Sus scrofa: one gene and its partners. The protein of the gene in region 1 interacts with the protein of each later gene in a biochemical or structural test. Links are inferred from orthologs where the notes say so. Each region holds a gene or a part of one and is shown in the gene's direction. Other genes may lie near its edges.

Evidence for each region.
Region 2: the proteins of FYB (region 1) and FYN form a complex in vitro, tested with the Homo sapiens proteins (2 studies listed by BioGRID and IntAct). The link is inferred for Sus scrofa from reciprocal best matches to the Homo sapiens genes FYB1 and FYN.
Region 3: the proteins of FYB (region 1) and SKAP1 form a complex in vitro, tested with the Homo sapiens proteins (2 studies listed by BioGRID and IntAct, with this or other methods). The link is inferred for Sus scrofa from reciprocal best matches to the Homo sapiens genes FYB1 and SKAP1.

What each region holds. Positions count from the first base shown.
Region 1 is NC_010458.4:24,364,480-24,369,472, reverse strand, and holds part of FYB (FYN-binding protein), read left to right. Parts: intron 1-667; coding exon 668-687; intron 688-1,386; coding exon 1,387-1,421; intron 1,422-2,597; coding exon 2,598-2,718; intron 2,719-4,647; coding exon 4,648-4,807; intron 4,808-4,993. UniProt on the Homo sapiens protein: Acts as an adapter protein of the FYN and LCP2 signaling cascades in T-cells. May play a role in linking T-cell signaling to remodeling of the actin cytoskeleton. Modulates the expression of IL2. Involved in platelet activation.
Region 2 is NC_010443.5:77,624,404-77,629,396, reverse strand, and holds part of FYN (tyrosine-protein kinase Fyn), read left to right. Parts: intron 1-2,376; coding exon 2,377-2,480; intron 2,481-3,452; coding exon 3,453-3,602; intron 3,603-4,993. UniProt on the Homo sapiens protein: Non-receptor tyrosine-protein kinase that plays a role in many biological processes including regulation of cell growth and survival, cell adhesion, integrin-mediated signaling, cytoskeletal remodeling, cell motility, immune response and axon guidance.
Region 3 is NC_010454.4:24,372,801-24,376,834, reverse strand, and holds part of SKAP1 (src kinase-associated phosphoprotein 1), read left to right. Parts: intron 1-2,586; coding exon 2,587-2,688; 3' UTR 2,689-2,695; intron 2,696-4,034. UniProt on the Homo sapiens protein: Positively regulates T-cell receptor signaling by enhancing the MAP kinase pathway. Required for optimal conjugation between T-cells and antigen-presenting cells by promoting the clustering of integrin ITGAL on the surface of T-cells.

The sequences.
Region 1 (4,993 bases):
CACCTTTACTGTATTAGCTGTATTAGTGTGTTTATGTCTTTGTACACATGGTGTATTTGTGTGTGCATAATGTGTGTTTCTGTTTGCATGTGTGTAATTTGGGTATCTGTTTCTGAGCTCTCTGCTGTGTTCCATTGTCTATTTGTTTTAATATCAATACTACACTGTTTATTATTATTGTTTTATATTATGTCTTAATATTTGGTAATTTGTTGATGTTACTAAACACTTGAGCAGTAAAATATCTTTTTGAAAAATCCTATTAACTTGATTTGTTTGATACATGAAAGTAAATCCTTGGGAGCAAATAAATCAAAAACTGTGAGCTAGTTGTGATTTTCTGGTCATACCTTTGTTCTACACAAGCCCACAAAATCAAACATGTGTATTTTTCATAAAGAAATAAAGAGTGTCTTCATTATGTTTTGGTTTTTGCATTATTTTATGAAAGCCAATGAAATGATTTTGTAATTAAATTCCAAGATTCAAAAAAGCAATAATAGGGATCTAAACCACATGTTCTATTTTGTACTTACATACCTTGGGTAAAGCAAAAGTTCTGTTAGATTATAAACTGATTTGAATATTATATTGCATTTCATAATTCATGTTAAACCACTTCTTAATTAGAGTATATTAAATTGTATTCTTTTTTTAAATACTTTAGGTACTGGAAATCTCGATGAGGTCAGTTTTTCTTTCCTTCTTATATTACTGTCAATAGAATATTTAACCATTACTGTGATTCATTATCTTTTTTTCTTTTTTTGTATTTGAAGGGCCACACCCACAGCATATGGAAGTTCCCAGACTAGAAATCAAATCGGAGCTATACCCCACAGCCTACACCACAGCCACAGCAACACCAGATTCAAGCTACATCTGCAACCTACACCACAGCGCACAGCAACGCCAGATCCTTAACCCTCTGAGCAAGGCCATGGATCAAACCTGCGCCCTATGGATACTAGTAGGGTTCATTACTACTGAGCCACAATGGCAACTCTGTGATTCATTTTCTATTGGTAAAGGAACAAATGAAAATTCTTTGGAGTTAATGATGGTATTTTTTCACTTATAATCTTATTTTATCTGAAATGCTTGAGACATTAAACACCAATTATTACACTGACTCATAGTAATTTTGCAGCACTGAACATGAGCTCAGGTCTGGCTATATATCTGGATTATATAGCTGGATAGAAAATGGAATCTTTTTGTGTTTATTTTCTCAGTCTACTTCTAAAAGGAAAAAAATATGTTTTAAACATTCAAATTTATATGCAATTAAATTTATGTTTGTTTTACTGAGTATTTGAGCAATGAAATATGTGTATGTTCCCTTATTAAATAATTACAATTAATCATCATTGTTTTTCTTGACAGGAGCAAGAGAGTGAAGGAGAAACATATGAAGACATGTATGCATTACATTTTTTTACCATGATATTTTCCTTCTAAGATAAATGCAATGATTTGTAAGAGGGGGTGCAGATAGATATTCAACACTAGAGGAGAGACGCTCTATTGTTCAAATAAAGGGCTTATAATGATAACATTTATTTCAGTACAAGGGACTAAAGATTCTTTTCTTGTCTAAGGATTTTTCAGAGGACCCTGTTCAAATGCCGTTGTGAAAGGAGTTGGGAGCCTACACCCCACTAGATAGCCCACAGGCAGGGAATCCAGGGGTGGGAATCTGTATTTCCCACTCTTGGCAAGTCCTTGGGCAAATGCATTCATGTCCATGTAACACAATCCTCACCTAGGCAGCCCTTCGCCTCACAACTGTTCCATGAGAGACAGTTCAACACAGCACCAGATGCCAAAGTGTCGGCCTGCTAAAGCAGAAAAAATGTTTAAAATAGCTCCAAAAGAGACTTCTGGGTGGCCCAAGACTAAATTTCTCAGAAAATGAGGGAAAGTAGAAATGAGCATCGTATTTTATCTTTTGCTGATTCAGATACCTTAATTTTCTCTACCCAGTTCTTATTCAACTAATTCTGACTAAAAGTTTGGGAATTAAGGTTTGCACATACACATGTGTATGTGCACTTGTACCAGTGAGTGTGCACATGAGAGAGAAAGAGAGAGAGAGAGATGCATGCTATTCATGCCAACAGGCCTCAAGAGCAGGGCCTTTATGGGAGTTCCCGTTGTGGTGCAGTGGAAACGAAGCTGACTAGTATCCATGAGGACATGTGTTCAATCCCTGGCCTCGCTTAGTGGGTTAGAGATCCTGCAGCTCTGATTTGACCCCTAGCCTGGGAACTTCCACATGCTTCAAGTGCAGCCCTAAAAAGCAAAAAAAAAAAAAAAAAAAAAAAAAAAAAGAACAGGGTTTATGGACAGTGGTTTCTACTTGCTGGCATGAGTTTAGGGGTAGCAGAGCCTTTGGAAGGTATCCTCATGTATAGGCCTTCTGCCGTTTTTAAGAACCATCTCATACACCCAGGAATTTTGACAAGCCTTGGCTTTGTGCCTTCACCTGTACTTCAGACACTGCCTTCTGTGGTGGGCAGGAACTCTCTGGAGGGTGAGCCCTAACACATCCATGCCTGCAGATGCTGAAACAACCTAACAATGTTTATCCTCAGAGAAGCATCCAAAGAAAAAGAGAAGAAAAGAGAAAAAGAGGAAAAGAAGAGATTAGAGCTGGAGAAAAAAGAACAAAAAGAGAGAGAAAAGAAAGAACAAGAAATAAAGAAGAAATTTAAAGTAAGACCTCGCTTGCTAATGAATGAAAAGGAGTAACTTCTTTTTTTTTAATATAATGGGTTTTTTTTAATATAATGGCTTTTATTTTTTTCCCTTATAGCTGGTTTACAGAAGGAGTAACTTCTTTTTTTTTTAATATAATGGGTTTTTTAATATAATGGTTTTTATTTTTTCCCTTATAGTTGGTTTACAGTGTTGTGCACGTGTACATTTTTTTAAAAGGAGTTACTTCTTTATAACTTTCACACAAAAGGGGCACCATTTTTGAAACCTTACATATTTGGAAAATTTAATCATTGTTTTCAAGAGTAACTACCTTCATAACAGTAAGGTTTTTGTCCAATACTCTCCCTTATCTTGCACTAAAAATGCAATATAAGAAAATTCAAATAGGAGTTCCCACTGTGGCTCAGTGGGTCAAGAATCTGACAAAGTGTCCGTGAGGATGCAGGTTCAATCCCTGGCCTCACTCAGTGGAGTTAAGGATCTGGCATTGCTGAAATCTGTGGTGTAAATCACAGATGTGGCTCAGATCTGATATTGCTGTGGCTGTGGCATAGACCACAGCTGCAACTCCGATTCAACCCCTAGCCGGGGAACTTCCATGTGCCGTGGGTGCAGCCATAACAAGAAAAAATAAATTAATTTTTTAAAAGTTAAAAAAATAAAATTCAGATAAAATATGGCAGCTTATGAGTTGCATAAAATCCAAATAAAATATAGTTGGAGCTCAAGAAATTCTACGTCGGTTGAGTGAATGAATACTTGGTTGGTTCCTTAAGACCCTTCTTGACTCTCCTCATCATGCATTTCACGTTAACCTACTTATAATAGGAGCTCAGACCCACACACTTAGCTATTCCTGTGGCATGTATAAAGTGGGGCAAGGGACAGGAGTGTCTCTGGATCAACCATACCTGTCTCAGAATCTCCAAGCTACTCTGATGGCTGATGTCTAGACCTGACTTACATTTTTGCCTGTGTTTTAAGCCTGTGTACATATTGACTTCTGATACTTGCTCTTTCTCATCCCTCTTCATCTGCCTGGATTTCTGACCTCTGTCTTCTCTGATGTCTAATTGTGTGACTTCTATTACTGCCACCACTAAGACTGCACTTGCAGAACGTACTGGCCTGGCTAGTCTGTCTTTGAAAACATGACCCATCTGGTGTGGGTTTGATATGTCAGCTACATTTAGAGTGATTATCTGGGTGACAAAACTATTCTTCACTTTAAAAAGGATAACATTATCAAGTTTCCTTTGAATATTTAATTCTTCCAAAACATTTAATATGTGGTTTAAATTATAGAAATGTGATTTATATACAACTTCCCAGTATATTTCTTATAATAAAATAAAGATTCAACAGCAGGGCACAGGGAAAATGTAAAGCTTAGACTCAGTTGAACAGATGGGCATTGAAATTCCAGATGCACCTGTGAGTTATTTGATGGTGTTCATGTTACTAAGCTTCTCTGAACCTCAGGTTTTTATTTCTAAAGTGAGTAAACGATAGCTCTCCTGAAATTTTATTATGGCATTAAATAAAATAATGCACATAAGGTGCTGTATCATTTATAGGTTCTCATTCAGTTTTTCTTACTATATATAATTAAAACTAAGATTGCAGTATGAACATCAAAACATTTTAATCATACAGTCTATATGGTTACGAGCGTTTAGAAATTTTCAAGCGTAAAACATGAAAAACTAATTTCTTAAATGAAAAATTTTATAGCATATCTATTATAAAGAGATTGTTTATAGTTTTGAAGGAATTATATAAAGATTTTCATTGTGGTTTTTTTCTGAAAAATCACATTGTTTGGCTTATTCATTCAAATAATATTTGTTAGTAAGAAAAAATAGGATATAGAAATCATGCCACTAAATATGAATTTGTAATTTTTTTTCCCCCTCTTTGCAGCTCACGGGCCCTATTCAAGTCATCCATCAAGCAAAAGCTTGCTGTGATGTCAAAGGAGGGAAAAATGAACTGAGTGTCAAGCAAGGAGAGCAAATTGAAATAATCCGCATCACAGACAACCCTGAAGGGAAATGGCTGGGCCGAACAGCCAAGGGGTCCTGTGAGTGCCAGTTTCCTAAAACTTCAAAGTGTTTTCTTTTTGGGCCAATATGAATGTGAAAATTCTTCCAACAGGCATTACTTTCATAGGCATTAAGTTGCAAGTATGTTATAGGGTGGACAAAGATGAGAAGATTTTTAAAGGACGGGCATGGCTCCATTTTCACCTCATCTGTGTAATCTTTTT
Region 2 (4,993 bases), on another chromosome or scaffold:
TAAAAAGATTTTTTTAAAAAGGTGATGAAATTCTAGCTAGAGCACGTACTATCACCAGCCCAAGGGTCTAGGCCTGAAGTCTGTTGAAGATATGGGGGGAAAGGGAATAGGGAGGGTGGGGGAGAAAGAGAAAAAGGAGGTAGAAATAATTGAGGTTTTCCTCCTCCCCAGAATTGGAAAGGTTAAAAGGTGCTGAAAAGACAGGTGTCCAGGCCCTGGGTAGGGGTCTCTCACCTGCAGGTGTCCCACAGCTCAGGCAGTCCTGAGGGGGTACATTTCACTGGCCCTTTCCTCTGATATGGGGTGTCAGGTGCTTCTTTCACAGCAAATTGTGACCAGCGGTTTGTTGGCTCAAGGATTTTTCTGATAGCAGTTTCGAAAGGTGGTGAGTAGGCTGGGCAGATTCTAGAAGGAACAGCTGTGGTTGCTCCTCCTGCCCGGGGTGCCAAATAGGCACCTCCAAAGTGAAGAGCTGTCAGTACGGCTCCTGTGAGGGCCTAGACATCTCAGCTAAGGGCTGGGATCCCCCACCACACCGTGGGAACCTGCCTATCCTGCTTGTTGGAGGCAGTCCTGACTTACCAGAAGACAAGTCAGGAAAAGTCGGCCACAGAACCCGACCTTTGGCTCTGGTATCCCACTTGCCCCGGGTTTGTCTGAGCCCTGTGAGGAGGATTAGACTCCACAGCCCAGCCAGATCCCCAACTGGAATGTTGTCTTGTCTTTAGCTCCCCTGCATTTCCTCTAAGAAGATCTGTTTTGTTTCCCACCCTCAAATATTCAGTGGTTCTGAGCTCCTTTTTTCCTCCCAGGGATTGTTTCATCATCAGGGAATAAAAGAATCCGTATTGAGTCCTTATTTTAAGGCAGGTTTGCCAACATCTTTGTCTTCCTTCAGAATAAAAGGTACCACCAAAACAAAGCATTGCTCTGACTTAACCGGGAACCTAGCCTCCATGTATTTAAGTTATATTTAGAATGGCCAGGGGTTTTTTAAATACTCAGTTTTTAAAGAATAAAATAGCATTTAAAAAATAATACCTGTGGTTTTACATGAGCGGTGAATTGCCCTTATCTTAAATTGCAATTGTTTCAGTACACACCATTGTTCTTAGGGCCCTCTTTCCACCACTGTTCATGTTTACACTGCATTTTAATTGGGTTATTGATACAAACCCAGAAAGTCATTTCTCACAAATAATTGGTGTAATTCTTTGTATACCACCTCATGCTAGGTTAGGATTACTGCAGTCTCATGCCTTTAAAATCACCAAGGAGCTGGCACGAAGCATGTCTTCTCTTATCCTCAGGGAAGCTCTTTCATTCACAAAAGAATTTGACAGTGACACATAATAGTGCACATATAATGAGTTGAAATTTCATTTTAGAAACTGGATCCTCTCACCATCACACATTCTAGAAACAGATCCGTGCACAGATTCCAGTGGACCTCTGCTTGGGTCCCCTAGGGCTCATGGAGCACCTGCTGCTCGCTCACTCAGCACCTACACAGAAACGTTAACCAGTCACCAGGCCGTGGTCAGGGCTGGAGAGCGCAGGGGAGATGAAAGATGGATGAGGAAGGTTGGGGGGTGAACTGAGGTGATGTCTCCTAAAGTGGCAGGAGAGCATCATGATAGAATATGATCAAGTCCTAGGCACCGAGTTGTTTTTGAGGACGTGCAGTTGGCTACCCAGGAACCTGGCCCTGGCATCTGGGCCAAGGCACACCTGGGGCAGGTCACAGCCCAGCTGCTCAACAGCTCCCTTCTGCCTGCCCACATTCTCATGCTGCTGGACAGAGAGAGGATGGAAACGAGCATGGGGGCCGCAGACACCTCAAGTTAGGGCTAGTCTAGAGTTCCCGCAGTTAGGAAGTTGCTGAAAACACCATGTCTTTGTTTTTGATCCATTCTAACCGACTTCTTTTTAAATGCTTGGTTAATGATTTTTATATACACTCAGCCTGTGTTTTATTATTTCCCAGGTGTTGTAATTATGCTCAGAAATCCAGGGTCTTGTAGAGGCACGTGGGAAGGGTCCTCTTGGTTGCCATTTCAAAACAAGGTCTTGGGTTTCTCTTTTTGTGCATGCAGGTGGAACTTTTAACACAAATCCACAGGTTGCTGTCATCTCTAGAGGCAAGAAAAATAACCTGCAATTCAAATCTGATTGTTTTTCAAGAGTGAAAGAGACGGACTGGGGATGGAATTGGGAATAGATTGAAAAGGAACTCGTTGAGGCCAAGAAAAAATGTACAGGGCGGGGGCTGAGGATGGAATCGGAGATGAGGATTCCTGGGCAGAGGGACCAACGCTGTTCCATTGTTGTAAATGTTCATTATAAAATGTTTCCTTCCCTTGATCTCACTGAAAGGTGGTACTTTGGAAAACTCGGCCGAAAAGATGCTGAGCGACAGCTTTTGTCCTTTGGAAACCCAAGAGGTACCTTTCTTATCCGTGAGAGTGAAACCACCAAAGGTAAGATAACGAGCTGAAGAAGCTGGCTTGTCATTCAAATCGCTGGATTAGTCAGAGGGGATGAAAGGCTTATCTCTAATGTACCAGGAGTTTTAAATGGTACATATATCCCCCCGCCTTGTGAGCCAAGTCCTATTTTCAGATTTTCCTCCAGGCTCCAGAACTGCAGACAGTTCCAAAAGGATGGCAGAGGCTCAAAATTGAGACCTTCCTCCCCACACGGGGGCTGGGGCCACTTCTCTCCTCCAGGGACTCTGAGATCATAGACTCTTCAGAAGTCCTTTAGGATGGGGATTTTCTGAAAAATCCCTCTTGGTTCCTCGGGTGCCCATCGCACAGGTTGTGTTCCCGCACTTCTTTTGTTTTCTCCACCACTGAGGACTTTTCTTCCTCCATCTGCCCGCCATCCCATTTTTCTAACAACACATTAGAGCCCACAGAGGAGCTGGGGCCCAGGGAAAGGAGCAGTGGCCTTTAGCTTGATCTGCCAGGCACTGGTTCTCCAGCTCCTGGGAACAGTGTTGTGAAGCAAGAAGTGGAAGCTCAGTTCTAGAAAAACGGTTCTCAGATTTCTTCAGTGTGCACTGCCCCTGCCTGCATGATGCTCTGTGGGTAATCAGACTAGGGCCACAGCCCAGCCCTGAGCAGCCCTTCCCTCCTTCCCGGGGGTGAGTTGGGTCTGTACCTTGTTCACCAGCACAAGTGTACTGAATAGGGTATCATAGGAAAAAAATCCAGGGAGTGTTCATTCTCAAGGCTAGAATCATTTTCTTGCTAGTATCTTCTGACATTTGCAGAAAAAGGTGTTTTCTTCCTGTGTTACCAACTAGAAGTGTGTGTGTGTGTGTGTGTGTGTGTGTGTGTGTGTCTCCTCCTGATAATTATTCATCAGGATACTCGAGTAAATGAGACCTGAAAAACACATGGCTACTGAGAATGATTGAAGCTGCTAATGCTTTGCATATTCCCCAGGTGCCTATTCGCTTTCCATCCGTGACTGGGATGATATGAAAGGAGACCATGTCAAACATTATAAAATTCGCAAACTTGACAACGGTGGGTATTATATCACCACCCGGGCCCAGTTTGAAACACTTCAGCAGCTTGTACAGCATTACTCAGGTAACCTGAATTCTAACTCGCTACTGGCCACTTGGATGCTGGAGGGAGTGGGTGGGCACAGAGCAGGGAAAGAGGTACAACGAATATGGACAAAGCCACACTCGGGAAATACTTGGCTTTGCCAGCCCCTCAAGGTGGGTCTTGGCCAACTGGGTTCTATCAGTTTTTTTCCTTCAGAGCTGTTATTAGTTCCATATGTTTGTCAAAAGCTTATAATGCTGTAGTTCCCCACGTAGAAAGCAAGAGGTTAAATTCTAAAAGCTCTTTGTTTTTTCCATCATCATCCTGAACTCCCTGAAAGTTATCTCTTCCTGTTCCCTGGCAGTGTGTAGTTTAGAAACCCTGCAAGGCAGAGGGTGTGGTCTCCGAGAGGACACTTACCTGGGGTCTCCCACAGGGGGTGCTGTGTTTCTACCATCTCTCTACACTCAGCACTGTTGCAGGAACAGCTGCACATAACGTTTCATTCTCATGACTAGATAAATTTTGCCATCCATTTATTTATTTTTTCTTTTTTCTTTAGGGCCTAACTTGCTGCATATGGAGGTTCCCAGGCTATGGGTCGAATCAGAGCTGTAGCTTCTGGCCTACATCATACCCATCCACTTACCATATTCTACGTCCCCATCAATACTTCTGTTTCCTAACTAGGCTTAGACATACTTGACCCACAGCCCTTAGATCTGGTACAGCTCTTACAGTTACTTTAAACTTTTAAACAGAACATCAATCCCTGTCCTAACACCAAGATGTCACCATTGGTCTGTCGTTCCTAGAAACATATAATTATTAGCTGTGTGATTTGTACATTTTATTAAAGAAGGTAATTGTATGTGCAGTAGTTAAAATGATGGCTTTCTCAAGTTCCCACTGTGGCACCACAGGATAGGTAGTGTTGCTGCAGTGCCAGGACATGGGTTCCATCGCCAGCCTGGCACAGTGGGTTAAAGGATCTGGCGATGCCACAGCTGTGATATAGGTCACAACTGTGGCTCTGATCTGATCCCTGGCCCGGGAACTCCATAAGCCACAGAGCGGCCAAAAAAGAAAAAATAAAAATTAAAAAACAATTGCTTTCTTTCCTAGATTAGCAAGTGTATCCCACTCTGTCATATGTACACACCAATGGACATAGCTGTGCAGATGCAAATAAAGAGCTATATCCCATTCAGCCCACTAATTTTTTGGGTGACTATATTTACATTTTATATCATCCTTCAGAACAATGGTAAGACCCCAGAATAGTACACCTCAACTATTGCTCTGCACTCATTTATTTAAAAATATGCCTGGGAATCCCATCGTGATGCAGCAGAAACAAATCCAACTAGGAACCACGAGGTTGTGGCTTCGATCCCTGGCCTCGCTCCATGGGTTAAGGATCTGGCATT
Region 3 (4,034 bases), on another chromosome or scaffold:
GCTAAACCACACAGCTATATAAGACTGTGGAAGGAAAGCACATCAGGTCAGAAGGCAACTAGGAAAACCACCCTAAACGGAGGGATAAAGATGAGAAGGAAAAGAAGCCACCAAAGAGGTAGGAAGGAAACCAGGAAAGTGTAATTATAGAAACTAAAAGAAGAAAATACCTCAAGAAGGGTCCATAGTGCCAGCACTGCAGAGAGATCAAGTAAGTTAAAGACAAAAGTACCCATAGAATCTGAGCAATAAGGAGGTTCTAGGAGACACCGAGAGGAAGTATAAGTGGACTGAGGAAGCAGAAGCCCGATTAGAGTGGTTCAAAGAGTGAGTAGAAAGCAAGAAGTTGGAGCACTAAGTGAAATAAATTCTTTCAATAAATCTGACTGTGGGAGTTCCCGTCGTGGCGCAGTGGTTAACGAATCTGACTAGGAACCATGAGGTTGCTGGTTCGGTCCCTGCCCTTGCTCAGTGGGTTAACAATCCGGCGTTGCCTTGAGCTGTGGTGTAGGTTTGCAGACGAGGCTCAGATCCTGTGTTGCTGTGGCTCTGGCGTAGGCTGGTGGCTGCGGCTCTGTTTCGACCCCTAGACTGGGAATCTCCATATGCCGAGGGAGCGGCCCAGGAAATAGGTAAAAGACCCAAAAAAAATTTAAAAATTAAAAAATAAAATAAATCTGACTGTGAATTGGCAGTCCGCATAGAGCAGTAGAAATGGGAAGTAGACATGCAGTGGGGACTATTTAATAGTTGTTTGCAAAGACAAAAGAGACTCGAACCCACTTTGGTGCAGATGGAAGGGGCCGTTTACATGGGAGGCAGAGGTCAGATTTCTCAGAACCTAAGAAAGAAAGCAGAAGGGTTACAAGGGCGAGTGTGAGGACCAGTCTAAAGCCAAGAGAGGGGAGTTCCTGTTGTGGCTCAGTGGAAACGAATCCGATTAGCATCCATGAGGATGCAGGTTCGATCCCTGGCCTTGCTCAGTGGGGTAAGGATCCGGCGTTGCCATGAGCTGTGGTGTAGGTCGCAGATGAAGCTCAGATCCCGAGCTGCTGTGGCTGGCAGCTGTAGTCCAATTCAACCCCTAGCCTAGGAACTTCCATATGCCTCAGGTGCAGCCCTAAAAAGATAAATAAATAAATAAATAAAGCAAGCCGGGAAAGGGACATCTTCTCCACTTTATTGAGAAAGAAAGGTGGTTGTCAACAAAGGTAAGTTCCTGTTTGGGTGGCTTCTCTTTTCTCTTCCTTCAAGGTGGAAAAAAGGTCAACTGCTGAGAGGAAGGGAGAGGCAGAGTTGGAGGAAGGAAGATATACGATGAAAAAGAAACAAAAAGATAACTGGTTGACCCAGAATTTTGTGTCACCAACCTAGTTTTCTTTTTTTTCCCCCCTAGAACTCAGCAACCAGGTGTGCACAAGGCTTAAAACATTAGCTCCTCAGTACCCAAATCCAGCTGAACTGGAATACATATATTTCCCATGAATTCCTAAATTTCACTTCTTTCAAGAGAAGGAAAATATGTTATAGTGCTTTTAGGAATAGCCCCATAGTGTTCAACATCTGCCGTGCTTTTAAGATCTTCAGTATTCAAGGAGCTCTGTTCTCAACTCTGTAACTGTCCTTCTTTTAAACCCTCTCATTCCCTTTCTTGTTTGCCCCTTTCTATGGCTCTTTGTTTGGTGTTTGGGGTTTGTTTTTTTTTTTTTTTTTTTTTTTGCCACACCTAAATCATGTGGAAGTTCCCAGGCCAGGGATTGAACTGACACCACAGCAGTGACCCAAGCCCACTACAGTGACAATGCCAGATCCCTAACCGGCTGCACTGCAAGGGAACTCTCCTTTCTATGGCTCTTTTGTCCTGCCCATCATTACTGATGTCAACCTCCCACCTCTTCCAAGGGAGAAAGCCAATGTTTAGAGCACCTACTGTGTATCAGACACTTTGAATTGTTTTCATGTCTGCAGCATCACTTATATCCCAACACAGGGGAGGGTAATATTATCCCTACTCTTACAGAGGAGGAAGCTAGGAGACCCTCCAGTCACATGGCTACTAAATGACCAAATGGGGACTAAATCCCAGTCTGTCTGACTCCATAGCTCATTACTCTGTGCTGTAAACTCCCAGGGAGCAAGCAGTGTTGATTCATCATAATCTATCTCGTGGGAACTCAAACAGCACTTCGCACATAGAAGATGCTTGGTAAATATTATTGATTTGAACTATGACCCAACTCCCTGAATATCTTTAGTGGTCTGGCATTTTAGGGTGTGCCCAACTTTCCTCGAAGAAGCCATTCCACTCTGCTTGGTAAAAGACATGCTCTTTAGGTTCAGCAATAGCACCAAATGTGCTAAATTTTCAAGATAGACAGAAAGATGGCAAAAGGAAAGCAGAGTTTGCTGTCTGCCTCTAGATAACTTTTTTTAATTTAGTAATCCCATCAGGGGTGTTAAGTTGTACTGTAGTGTCAACAAAGAAACCACCCAGCAGAGTCTCCCATGCAGTCATTAACAGATTAAAAAAGATTAACAGAAGCATGACTAAATTCCAACTGAAGGCATCCTCTTTTCATTTTTCAGGAGTATAACATGTATGGCTGGTGGGTAGGAGAAATGAACAGCCTCATTGGGATTGTTCCAAAGGAGTACCTCACCACTGCCTTTGAAGTGGAAGAAAGATGAAGCCCAGGTATCAATTGCCAATGAATTTGTTGGCCATGCCTTGTATTTGTTGGCTATGCCTTCATTTCTCTGTGAAGGATGAGAGTTGCCAGTGAAGTAGCTTTTCTTCGTTTCCAAAAGTGATGCTTGTAATTCACCATTGAAAGAATATAAATCTGTAATTGTTTTTCCTAAACAGGGGGACTGTGACAGTCAGGATTAGGTTCAATGAACTACCTATGACAGAAAACTAAAAATAACACTGATTTAATTAACATAGAAATTTATTTTTCTCTTCTACAAAAATATGGAGGTAAGTAATCCAAGGTAGCCAGGTCCCAGGTGCCTTCTCTTTTTGCTCCACTGTGTGTGGTCAGCATTCGCATGGTACCTAATGGCCCAATATGGATGCTCCAGTTCCAGCTATCGTGTCTGTATCCTACTCAGCAGGAAGGGAAAATGAAAGGAGAAGGGACACCCTCTCCTCTCCTTTTAAGGACACCTCACAAATGTTACACACACCACTTCTGCTTTCATTCCATTGACCAACTTGGACATATAGACATACCGAGCCACAAAGAAAGCTTTCTTTTAGGTAGAACCTGTGTCCAACTTAAAAGTGGTGATGGGGGGGTGGTCATTAATGAATTTAAAAGGGAGAATGGATATTGGAGAACAATTAGGAATTTTTTCAGAGTTCCCATCATGGTGCAGCAGAAACAAATCCAACTAGGAACCATGAAGTTGTAGATTCAATCCCTGGCCTCACTCAGTGGGTTAAGGATCCAGCGTTGCCATGAGCTGTGGTATAGGTCACAGATGCAGCTCGGATCTGGTGTTGCTGTGGCTGTGGCATAGGCCGGCACCATAGCTCTGATTAGACCCCCTAGCCTGGAAACGTCTTATGTGCCACGGTTGCGGCCCTAAAAAAGAAAAAAAAAATTCTTGCCACAAGGATAGGTCTGGATTTCTTTATCCGCAGTTATCAAATCCAGGGCACCATTTCCCCCACATGCCCGTGCATAGCAATATGATTGGCCAAGATTAGGAATCCAGTATGAGGATTCCTATGGAACATAATTAAATTAACGTTTAGGTAGTAAAGAATATGGCTTGCGTTTTATGAGCCAGAACCACATCATACTTTTAAAACAGTGGAGTGAGTGTTTGCTTTGGGTAGGTAGGGTAACAATAGGATTAGAATTAGGATGGTGATAGAGGGCACCCAAGGCCAGCATGATGTCGCTAGCTCCATCTTCCGGCCTGAAGTGGAAGCAGTCTTTGTCACTGGGGGTGACAGTGACACAAACTAGCCTTGCAACCTTTCAGACCAAGGCCCACTCTGGTGTGCAGCAGCAGCCGTGTGG